Cricetulus griseus: one gene and its partner. The protein of the gene in region 1 purifies or fractionates together with the protein of each later gene. This does not show direct contact. Links are inferred from orthologs where the notes say so. Each region holds a gene or a part of one and is shown in the gene's direction. Other genes may lie near its edges. The genes, in order: Rab27b and Sytl4.

Region 1 (6,209 bases):
TCACTTTTTCTCTTCTTCAACATTTTATGTAGCTTTTGTTCTACTTTGCGGAGGATTAATTTCTTTGCTGTTCACTCTTGCTATAAGCAGAGTCAAAGGGTCTGTGTTCAGCTCCTGGTAAGCCACTCATGACTTTACTTGTATTCTCCGGAAGACTGGAGGCTGGAAGAAGCGGATGAAGGAACTTGATTGATTACATAACAGTGGGTAGGAACTTCAGGTACAACCATTCTGTGTCTCTAACTAAACCCAATACTCCACCACTTGTCACCAGTCTGTGCCAGTATTTCTGCCTTAAAAACGCTCAGTCTGCTGGGTTTTGTGGGGGAGAAGAGCTAATAACCCTATGTCCTTAACTCTGTGACAGACAGGCACCTGTAAACTGCTTCTCTAAGTCAATACCTGCCTCCAACTGGTTTAACGTCTTTAAAAGATTCCATCACAAATTATTTTATCTGGTGAGGTCGCTTGTCTTTTTTATTTCCTTTTATGGTTTAAAATTTATTTTTAGAAGTTCAGAATTGATTTTGTTTTGTGTGTGTATGTTCAAGGAATTTGAGGAGGATGAAAGGAGGATGAAACACAGATGATGAATTTGCCATTTCATCTAGAAGTTTCCCAATTACAATGGTATCTGCATATACATTAGAGCTGCTTCGAAGAATGAGACAAAAATTTTATCTGTTTAATTTGTGCCACATATACATACCCCAGGCACAAAAGAGCCTTTAAAATCCTTACCTTCAAACTTTTTTTTTTCTGGTAGAAGAGTCAAGACAATGTTTATGAGTCAAGTGATATTGGAGCTCAAGAAGTTGGCTCAGTTTTTATGAGCTCTTATCACTCTTTCTGCGGACCTGGGCAGGCTTTGGTTCCCAGCACCTGTTGCTTGTGCTTCTCCACTGCTTCATCCCCAAATGAGCACACAGATGCTATATGAATGATAAAACTGTTGGCCGATGGCTAGGGCTTCTTATTGGCTAGCTCTGTCTTAAATATTAACTCATAACTACTTATCTATGTATTTCTACATGGCCTGACGTGTCCTATCTTCCATCTCTACATGATGTCTCTTTGCCCACCCTCTCTGCCTACCTCTCCCAGAATTCTCCTTGTTGCCCAGCTCCGCCTATCTTCCTGCCTCTATTGGCCAAACAGTGTTTTATTCATCAACCAATAAGAGAAACTTATATACAGAATGCCATCCCCCCATCAAGCACCCACAGGAGGCCTGCCTCTGCCTCTGCCTCCCGAATGCTGAGATTAAAGGCATGAGCCACCAATGCCCAGCGGCCCTGTTATTTTTATCTTCAAGAAAAGCACATCTTTGTGCTTGGCCTGTGATTTGGGCATTCCACAAGAAATGCTTCCTAGCAGATCTTAGCAGTTCTTTAAACTCTGAAGCATCGATCAGGGATGAGTTAAATTAAAACTTCCTAACTCTACCATGAGTATAAGCAACAGGTTTGGAACTATTTTATTTGTGAAGGAATACGTCAAATACCATTAGATGTATTCAATCTTGTATTCTTACCTTGAGTCTGTATTTCGGGATGTCAGAGTATGTCGAAAATGCAATGCACAGGATCTTCACTTAATGGGAAAATCCAAAGCGTTTATCTAGTATAGAACTTGCCACATACTATGAACTTAGTAAATACTAGTTTAGTGACCGTGTTTATCATTTTATTTAGCAGTAATCCATTAGCCCCCAAATGGCTTTAGGAAGGAAGCATCCCGTGGTGTGGACTGTGCATTCTTATGTACGTGCCCTAACTTTAGAAATGCGGTTTCCTTCCAGTCCCCAGTCTGATCCAATGCTTTTCTCTGCTCTCTACCTGGAAGCCCTTGCTCTAGGAGGCTGCCCACCCACCCCACCCCCCCCCCGGGTGTAGGCAAGCTGTATATGAAAGCTGGTCTCCCCACACTGCCTCAGGCTCTTTGAAAGAGGTGTCAGCGCAAAGCCAGAAAAATAAGTCAATGAAAACGAGCTGGCCGCTAGGACATGCACCCCCACAGCGTGGAGAATCCAGCGGCAGCCAAGTGTGTTTCTTATTGCAGCGGTTGAGTCACCAGACAGACTGGCCCGAGGTGAGCCAGGCACATCCGCGTTAGGACTCAGAGACACGCCTTCTTCTCACACAAACCTTCCTGATCCCAGCCGCCTAGGCGGACTCCCGGGTGGTGCTACCAGCCCTGCCACTCGCAGCCCGGACAGGCAGAGGTTGGGGACTGCCTGGCGTTGCACCGATCGAGAGCCACAGGTTGCAAACGCAGGGAGCTGTGCCCATGACAGTGGCGCTGTGAAGCTGCTGGTGAGCAGTGGCTGCTGGTGGGTACCAGAGCTCGGGAAGACAGGAGCGGCCCTGAAACCCGACACCAGCGCCCTCGCTGTGGCTGTTTCCCGGGCTGGTGAGTTGGGGAAGGCGGGCTGTCGGCTGGAATTCAGTCCCACCCACTCTGGGTGCCCGCGGGCTTCAGGGAAGGGGAACCCCAGAGGGTGCAGGCCCCAAGCTCGAAGCCTTCCATCTGTTACCTGCAGAAAGCTGAGCTAGCCAGCCCTTGGGGCTGCTGCTGCTGCTCAGATAGCCCCAGAAAACTCCATCTACCCTCTTTGCTTTGCTGTGTGCCTTTCCTACAGCTGAGTAGAACAAAAACCAAACCCAAACAAGAACACTGGACAGAGGCATGCCCATCCGTATTTTTTAAAAAAGAAAACAAAAACGATTATTATCAGCAAGAAGAGTGACATGCAGAGAGAAAGGACGGAGGGAGGCTGTCCAGGCAAGAGACAGGACTTGTCTTGGCACTTCCCTAAGATGAATCAGCCACAGAAAGTGAAGAGTGTTTTTTGTGTTCCATTCCAGCGTTTGCCCCATTACTTCCGAATTCTGATCAAAGTTTTGCATCTAGGGAGTGAGTGTGGGGAGTGAGTGTTACTGCCAGTGGCACCAACACAACCATATTCAAGATTTTCCTCACTGCAACATTATCTTAGCAAGCCTCTGGAAATCATTGACTCGGGTGAGGTGTAAGTAGTGATGGCCTTCCTAGGAAAAAGCTATGTTTGGTCAAAGCCTGCACACCTGTAACGTGTTGGCCAGTTATCTAAAACTAAGGCTGTGGGGCTCACGTTTAAATGGATTGCATGTAGTTTCAGGGTTAATAGCAAAGACATGGGTTTTGGTTTGAATAGGCTTAAGTGAATACCCACAGTTCTCAATATTTAGTTGGTATTCATACTTACATGTGCATACAATGTACTGATTAATGGTTGTAACTTTCGAAATGTAGCAAAGGCAGACATCGGTATTATTGTAAGCAGATAAGTTCACTGGATTTTTAAGTACTGTGAAGTTCAGTTTGTAGTTATAAAATGGAGAGAAGTACTTTTCGGATGCTATCCTGCCCACTCCCATAGCAAGTTTTCAGAGTTTCCAAAGGTAATTCCTTACCTACTATTCTTACCAGCAGGAACTTCTACGGATCACCACAAAGTGTATTGCTTGCCAGATAGTCTAACATTAAGGAGACCTCTCTGATTAAGGACTGACTATGAACTCCCATGATCTCTTACTATCTTTGCTCCTGAATGAAAAACAAAACATTTCAGATTAAACTGGATAAGCCTGTTCTCATCTTTGCCAAGTGGCAATAAAAAGAATGTCAAATGCAAGCAAACCACAGTTCTCCCTACCCATAGGTCATTTATAGAACAGGCATATTTGACCTGATAAGGAAGGTAACCCTGAGAAAGTGATCCTCTTAACTCATGGTGTACCACATTGTAATTACTTCTGTCTTCCGGTTTCAGGTTGGGCATTCATAAATATTCCTCTAGAAACATGAATGTCAAAGTCCCATGTGGTTCACAGCTGGAATCTGCTGATTTCCCCCATTCTTACAAAGTTGGAGTTTGGCTTTCAACCTAGATCAGTGGTTCTCAACCTTCTGAATGCTAAAACCCTTAAATACAGTTCCTCATGCTATAGTGACCCCCAACTATAAAATTATTTTCTTTGATACTTCATACCTGCAATTTTGCTATTGTTGTAAACCATAATATAGATATCTGTGTTTTCTAATGGTCTTAGGCAACCCCTGTGAAAGGGTCATTTGATCCCCAGAGAGGTTGTGATCCACAGGTTGAGAAACGCTGACCTAGTACAGCAAGGAAGGCACACCGGCTATTCATCTAAAGCTCATCTCAGGATGAGTCTAGTTTCTTATGTTGATTCATCAAGGCTGGTTAACCAATAGTTCAGCTCTGAAGCAATTACTTGTAATGCTGAGATGCAGAACAGTTCCAATAAAAAGAGACAGGGCAAACCAGATGTTTGCCATGAATTATTTGTAGAGATGCCTAGCAAAGGATTGGCTTTCTGCATGGTTAGGTGTATAAGGTATGGAATGGATGTTCTGTAGATACAGGAAGTGACAGCATCACTGGATGGACCTGTTCTTAGCACTATATACTTGGCTGGTTTCAGGCCCTTTTCAGTCATTACTGCTGGCCCTCAAGTGTTGAGCTTCTCTCCTCAGCCCTCCTTAAATAAGCAAAGGACTAGTGTGTAAGAGCTTTCTGGTTTATAAATGATTAAAAGAATCATTTCATAAATTCAGTATTTTAACTTGTGCAATATCTTGAGAAAAGAAAACAATATATCCAGTTGCTTGTTCACGTATTTGACAAATATTTCTAAATAGCATCAAGTGCTGTTACAGGCTCTGTAGGCAAACATGAACAAAATAAGAAGACATCCCTAACCTTGTGCACCTTACTATTTATTCCCGACATCCCTAACCCTGGGGACAAAGAGTTGACAAGAGGAACAGGTTACCTCAATGACACATGACTCACGGGTGCTAAAGAGAAATAGAGTACAGGGCAAAAGAGAGCTATTCTGTAAGTTTCGGTAGTGTCAGGGTGGGGGCGGGTGTGCCAGGCTGCAGAATAAGTGCTAGGGCAAGTGATACTGAGAAGCTATTTCAATGTCTGTGTGGAACAGGTGAGGAAGTGAACCATTGGAGACTATTCCAAACTGAACAACTAGGGAGCTAGGATTTGCCAGTGATGTTCCCTAGCTCTAAAAGGGTCAGGTCAGAGAGAGCTTTGAAGGTGTTAATAAATAGTAGGCTTTGGGTTTTCACTCAAATGAGTGAATGAGAAAAAGCTATACTAAATAGTCTATGAAACATTCTCCAACAAATCTTTGCCTAGCATTATAAACATTAATATTCTTCTAAGCACCAAGGATAAGAGATGCTAAAAAGATAAAAGGACACTGCTATATACACATTACATCCTAGGGTGAAGAGAGAGAGATGGGAACAAATTAATAATCCTACAAGGCTTAATATTATTAAATAAAGCACGGTAATGGGTAAAAATAATGACACTGGTCAGGAGAAACCTTGGGGAGAGACATATTTTATTGTAATATAATATGGTATGTTTACAGTTGTCTCTCTTTGTGAGTGGCTTCTATATCCATGTGTTCCACTATCTTTGAATGAATAAAAATATTTGAAGCTAAATTTCATCTGTATGGAGCATGTACATGACATTTCTCATCATGGTTTCCTGGGAAATCTACTGTAACAGTTATTTACACATCCTTCACACTATGTTGATTATGACTATTCCAAAGATACCTGAGATATAGATTTAAAATATGTAATGCTTGTGCATGTTCGGTACTAATACTACGTGATTGTATACAATTGTATATAAAGATTGATGCTTCTATTCATGTAGGTATTCTTAGGGGCCTTTAAATCAGTACCCTGTAGAAGCAGTGGAAAACTATGCATGTGAACTGATAAAATTGAAACATTTTCCATGCTCATCTCTTCAAAAACTTATGACTTTGTTTTGGGAGAATTGTATATATAATAAGATGATTTTTTAAGCTGTCTCACTGGCTTCCTTGAAGACAATGGCTGAAATCTGACTACAAAAGAAGAAAGGACAGAGGATAAGGCTACTCTAATTGACGAGACATGGCAGAAATATAGATGAACATTGGAACTGCAGTCTCTGATAAAAGCAGATCCATTCAAAAAGTATTTAAAAGTGGAGCTGATTGGACTTACTAATAAACCAGTTAAATAGTAAGGATCACAGAAAGAAAGATTGAAAATGAGCATCAGAATGCATAAAGAACAGCTTAGGTAGATGACAACTGTAGTGATGGATAAAGAAAAGA
Region 2 (6,176 bases), on another chromosome or scaffold:
CAGACCAGTCCTCTTCCTGAATTCTAGATGGACAGTCCATGCTCCCTGACTGTCTGGATTCAGGGTTCAAGGCTCTGTTGTCCATAATTTTTAAGCAGTATAAGCTTCGTCTATAGTGGGGATGATTTACTGACTTAAGCTCACCAAGAATTCATGGTTGACTAAGCTAACACATATTAGTAATTGTGGGAGAGAAGTGGAACCACATATTTAAACCCATCCTTGGTGGAACATAGGCCAGAGCATGACTAACATATTCATTTTCTCTCCAGGTTACAGGAAGTAGATAATCTAGTGGAAGTAGTGGGGAACCTGCATCCTCACATTCAAAGGAGGGCTTGTGTGCACTGGGACCTGGGTGTTGGCTTGCCATCCTGGGCTAGGCCTGTGGTAGGGGCAAGGGGAATTTAGACGTATTCCCAGATTAAGTAGGTGTTGATAACTCCCCACCCTCTGCCAGATACCTCCTTCCCATGAGGAACAAGGCCAGTAAGCGTAAAACTCCTGTGATGAAGAAGACCCTGAATCCCCACTACAACCATACATTTGTCTACAATGGTGTGAGGCTGGAAGATCTACAACACATGTGCCTGGAACTGACTGTATGGGACCGGGAGCCCCTGGCCAGCAATGACTTCCTGGGAGGGGTCAGGCTGGGTGTTGGCACTGGTGAGACTCTCTTCCATCCGATCATCACATGTCTCAAAGGCCTTTTGTCTATCTTACTCTTCCTACCTCTTACCTTCCATGAGATATGAAGATCTTTTCTGACAGAAATTCTCTTCCTTTATGAAAACATCCAACAAGTACTTACTGAGTACCTGCTGCCTGCTAAGCCTAAGGGAAGGCTGAACTCATATAGTATTCTATGTATAGAAAGATGACCCTGAAGGCCAGGAACATCATCATCTTCCCACAAAAGAAGATCTAAAAGCTACCTAAACCCCTGACTTGTGATTCTTATCTTCTATCTTGGTGTAGTGAGAAGGGTCCTTTGCCAGCAAATCCTTATTATCCAAGGATTCTGACTTACTCCTCGCTTCTCAGTGGTTCTTTGTTTATAGTCTATATTTCTTCTGTATGATCGATTCCATTTGATTTGGCTATAGAAGGGGAGTATACACGTGCTCTGGTGAGACCAACCTCTCTCTCTCTCTCTCTCTCTCTCTCTGTCTGTCTCTCTCTCTCTCTGTCTGTCTCTCTCTCTCTCTCTCTCCAGGGTCTCATGGAGCCCAGATTGGCTTCAAACTCCTGATACTTATTTACTTATTACCTCTATGTCTCAAGTGCTCAGATAGTACATATGCACCAACATGCTCAGGCCTAATTTTGTTAAATAAAAGGTAAATCTTCCATTGGCCACTCCCCCCAGGACTCTAAAAAGAGTTTCCTGGCCTTTCCTGCAATTCTCAGTCCATTGTGATATGGCTGCTATTCTTCTACTCTTCTGAGTCATTATTCCTGCCAAACTGAGGTTTTTGTCTCTCTCTATAATTCCCAAGAACTATTTAATAGAGCAGATTACTCCCATTATCTTAAAAGTCTTACCACTTATTGCCTTCTTGACTCCCTGTGATTCCATTACACACCATTTCTAAATTTCCTTCATGGACTCTTCATTCTGCACTTCTGTATTCAAACTTTGAATGATGCTGATCTCTGGGCTTGGGCTTAGATGCTCTTTTTCCCCCTCTTTTTATAGTATTGATCAGGCCCATCCAACCTTTTGACATTGTGATATCATGGCATTTTCAAGTACAGTATTTATACTCAGGAACTGTGCAATCCAGTTACCAAGAAGTCACAGAAAGTAAAAAGAACTTCATTGTTTTAATTAGTTATTATTTTGTGTTGGGCCACATTCATAGCTATCCTCAGCTCCATGCAGCTCTGCTTGGACATATTTGCTAGATTCATTCTTTTGGTCTCGATTAATAACTATATATGAATAACTAGCAGAAAACATCTCTAATATTTTTGCACATGTAAGCTACTTCATGTCGGCTCCCTGTGTAAAATAATTTGGTAGCTTTCACCCACCTCAGGAATTCTTATTAAGTCTGCAGACCTCACGTAATCTGGACTCTTCCTTTCTTATTCTTCCTGTATCATTTTCTCACTCACTCATTGTGTTCCAATCACCGTAATTCTTACTTTGCTCTCCAAATATGCCAGGTTACATCCTACATTGAGACTTTATGATTGTCTTTCCTATTCACATGTAAGCTGCCTAAGGGCAGGGACATTTTTTGGTGTGTTCATCACTGCTTCCACAAACTGGCATAGGGTAGGCACTCAGGAAATGTTCATTGAATGAATGAATTACTATACAAAAAAGTAAGGAGTAAGATCACATAATCCTAACTTTGGTCCCAGTATTTACAGCTATAGAAAAAAGTATTCAGAGCTTGGGCATGGTTATGCATGCCTCTGGACTCAGCACTTGGCAGGCAGAGGCAGGAAGATTGCCACAAGTTCAAGGTCAGCCAGGATTCCAGTGTGAAATCCTGTCTCTAATAACATAAAAAGAGAGAATTTGAAAAATGTTAAGGCCTTATGTGTACTCTAGTTATTAACCAGTCCATTGCCTTTTTACTGTATATGCAATAAACTATTCTCTAAAAAATTAAGTTAAATTGCTAATGACAGAAGGGTAGCAGTTCTCGCATGGGGTGTCAGACACCAGAGCTCTGAAAAAGCCACTAAAAATAAGCCCCAATTGACATTATGCCATTTCAAGTCCCATTTCATCAACCTTCAGTCTCCTGATTATCTCTGGGGCACAAGTATTTGTAGACTCAGCTTGCCAGCTTGCTGTCCACAGCATTCTGTCTTCACTGTACATTGTTGTTTCTGGGCTGACCTTCTTCACTATATAACCCATCCTCCCTGATGGGCTAGTGGTAGGACTCTGTTCAGCCTCCTCTGGTGTTTCTCCTCAGGGATCAGTAATGGCGAAGTGGTGGACTGGATGGATTCGACTGGTGAAGAAGTGAGCCTGTGGCAGAAGATGCAACAGTACCCAGGGTCTTGGGCAGAAGGAACTCTGCAGCTACGTTCTTCAATGGTCAAACAGAACCTGGGTGTATGAATCCCTATCTTTATTTGCAGGTGCAACCCTGGTCAGTCCAAGTCAAAGGAAGCTAAGCAACCACAAGGAGAGATTGCTAATTTAATGTGTGTGCATGCATTTGTATTAACATATATTTCTGCAGATCTTATTTTGCTAGCTAGTGTGACACAGATGTGTTCCTCCCTTTAAAGCAGCCCAAGAATAAGGGTCTTTTCAAATGGTTTTATTTATCTATAGTCTAGTATATTTTCAGAGTACATAGTTGCCTCTACCTTTCTGTGGTTTAATTAAGTTTAGAAACCCTTTACAGCAACTCTCTACCTTCTATCTTGCTATTATTGTTCCCACTTTCCCTGGAAGTATGGCTGATTTTGTCAGTAGTTCTAGTTTGTAGGTCTAGATCAAAGGCCAAGACTCTTGGAAGCAAGGTTTGGTTGTTAAAGACAGTCCACTATGGGAGAGGGATTTATAACCAGTCCTTCCTCTCCAGTTTGTATTTTATGTCATCATCTACTTTGATATATTTTTAGAACTTGCTTTTTAGTTTTTCTTGTTTTTAGGCAATTTCCACCTTGCGTGAGTATAGTGGTTTTCTTTGAAATGCAGTGAAAATTCCCCAGCTCCTTCCTAGACCTTTGGGGAGCCCTTATAATGGAGTCATTTTAGAAAAATCACTTCAATTAGATAATGGCCTTTTCACTGAGACATTAACATGCCCTGTGAGACCTACTAGCTGATCTCAGAAGGTCTAAGTGACTCTGAATAAAGTTTTTCTCAGTCCATGCTGAGTTCTCTCTTTTTAGCTGTTACAGCACTTGTTGAAGAGGCATTTCCTTATTTCCCTAATGGAAGATGAGACATCTTCACTCTCATGTACTATAGCTTTCTCTAAGTTTGTGTCTAGGGTGTGCTGCTACATAGAACATAGTCTTTATACTTCTGTTTCAGCCAGTCTAAACCTTACAGTGCTCCCCTGGCCTGGGGCTTAATACCACCCCGTAAAAAATGTGGATGGAATCGCCCAGCTATTCTGACTTTCGACCTAATATATTTTTCAGTTCCTGTTTTTGGTTGTTTCTGAACTTGACCTATGGGTAACAGGGGAATAATGTGTTGAGATTTAAAAGAGAGACCAAGAAAGCTTTCATTTCCTGCTAGTCACTCTTCTAGACTGGACTTTTCAGTCATAGCAGTCTGTCTATACAGAGGTGTGTGTGTGTGTGGATGGTGTCTGTGCCCGAGGAGAAATCCTGTCAATGGAGCCAGCTGCGAATTGACTTTTCCTGTAAGGTCCCTGGATTGCATGCAGCTGGGGTGGTTAAGATCATATGTGTTGATTGTATAGAATGTTTTTCAAAGATCCCTTCAGTATGGATTGGTACTGTAATGGAAGTGTAACTCAAGAGTCCTGGCTCATACTTGTTCTTTGGCATTCCACCTCAACATGCATGTGTGTTTCAATAAAGCTTTATCACTTGAGTGTTTACACTTTGAGTTCTGCATATGCTTTAGTCTTTGATGCCCTGACTTATTGTTGCCACTTTCACTCATAGCTGGAAGGTCAGAACCAGAATAATAAGTGCACCTCACTATACTGGAAGAAAATCTGCCTTTTCCCATATATGTTTGGAATCTAAAAGTAGCATTACTTTTTTCCCTCTCAGGTACCCATAGAAGATGGCCCTTGGCTTTGTAGATTGTCCTTTGCTGGAAGAAGAAGGAGAGAGATATTCACACAGGCATGAGGGAACACCTTCCAGGCTACCAGCACTTTTTTCTAGATTATTCAGTTTCTCTGAGAGGTCAGGGTTTTTTCTCATTTATTCTATTATTTGGATTCCAGAGCTAAATCAAAGATGCTATACAACTCACCTTTGAAATAAGGCTCTGATTTTCTAGCTGCAGTTCAAGTGATTCTTGGCCTCTGTGCAAAAGCATAGTTGCAAAAGTCAAATGCATCCTGTATACAAGGTTTTGCATGATATTGTCTGACTCTCTCCAACACCTTATGTAGGAGGAAACCTTCCCTTCTTGCAGATCAAACACTCAGATGAGCTCCTTATTATGTGACAGAATTGGAATTTGAATCCAGGCCTGACTCTACCATGTTGCCTTCTATGAGAGTGATATCTGTTAAGGACAAATCATCAAACAAAATTATGCTTGTCTCTCCCAAAGTACCTTAGAGAACTAGGATTAATTTGCAAAGGAGGACACTAAGAATGCTTTGGATATTACTAAGCCAGCACAGTGACAACACTGTGTGTGTGTGTGTGTGTGTGTGTGTGTGTGTGAGAGAGAGAGAGAGAGAGAGAGAGAGAGAGAGAGAGAGAGAGAGAGAGAGAGAAGAAGGAGGGGAGAAGAGTGACAAAAAGAGAAGAGAACAGGTGGAGAGGGGAAGTGGAAAGGGAACTGCATAGGAAGGAATTAAATGGCGTTTGTCATGCTAGTCCCATTCGGACTGGCTATGGCCCTGAGTCCTTCTGTGTCTTTCCCCTACTTGGATTTTTTTCTTTCTTTTTTCCCAGAGACAGGGATTCTCTGTGTAATAGTCCTGGAACTCACTCTGTACACCAAGCTGGTCTTTAACTCACTGAGATCTGCCTGCCTCTGCCTCCTGAGTGCTGGGATCAAAAGCGTGCACTACCACTGCCCAGCTCTACTTGGATTTCTTAAGTCATAAGGACTACAAAGGAGGTTGTAGTAAAACCTTACCTAAAGAAGGCAAGATTGACTTGGCTACTCCAAATGACATAAAAGAAAGCCCCTAAAGTTGTTCTAAGCCTCAGTTCGCTGGACCATTTGCATTCAAGAGTAAGGCCCAGCTGGGAACTTTATGCAGGAGGTAGCAGGGCCCTGTGTTATCTTCTAGGCTGTTGACCTGCCAGCATGTCCTGGCTTGCCACTTGGAGTGCTAGGGTAAAGACATTGAGAGCATTTATCCTTCCCAATGTGTTGTCTTTGCCTTGCTCTGACCAGAAAGTTCCTACATGAACTCATTTTATTTCACCTTCTGCCTATCTATGACTTTAGCTCACTATAGCTTCTGCCTATCTTTGACTTTAGCTTTTCAAAGCTCCAGTATTTCTCTCAAGGTAAGATG

The links.
Region 2: the proteins of Rab27b (region 1) and Sytl4 purify together in Homo sapiens (co-immunoprecipitation; 3 studies listed by BioGRID and IntAct, counting the BioPlex papers as one, with this or other methods). This does not show direct contact. The link is inferred for Cricetulus griseus from reciprocal best matches to the Homo sapiens genes RAB27B and SYTL4.

The regions. Positions count from the first base shown.
Region 1 is NC_048595.1:169,442,102-169,448,310, forward strand, and holds the start of Rab27b (ras-related protein Rab-27B), read left to right. Parts: upstream 1-2,109; 5' UTR 2,110-2,412; intron 2,413-6,209. UniProt on the Homo sapiens protein: Small GTPase which cycles between active GTP-bound and inactive GDP-bound states. In its active state, binds to a variety of effector proteins to regulate homeostasis of late endocytic pathway, including endosomal positioning, maturation and secretion.
Region 2 is NC_048604.1:46,185,303-46,191,478, forward strand, and holds the end of Sytl4 (synaptotagmin-like protein 4), read left to right. Parts: intron 1-460; coding exon 461-669; intron 670-2,942; coding exon 2,943-3,091; 3' UTR 3,092-4,567; downstream 4,568-6,176. UniProt on the Homo sapiens protein: Modulates exocytosis of dense-core granules and secretion of hormones in the pancreas and the pituitary. Interacts with vesicles containing negatively charged phospholipids in a Ca(2+)-independent manner.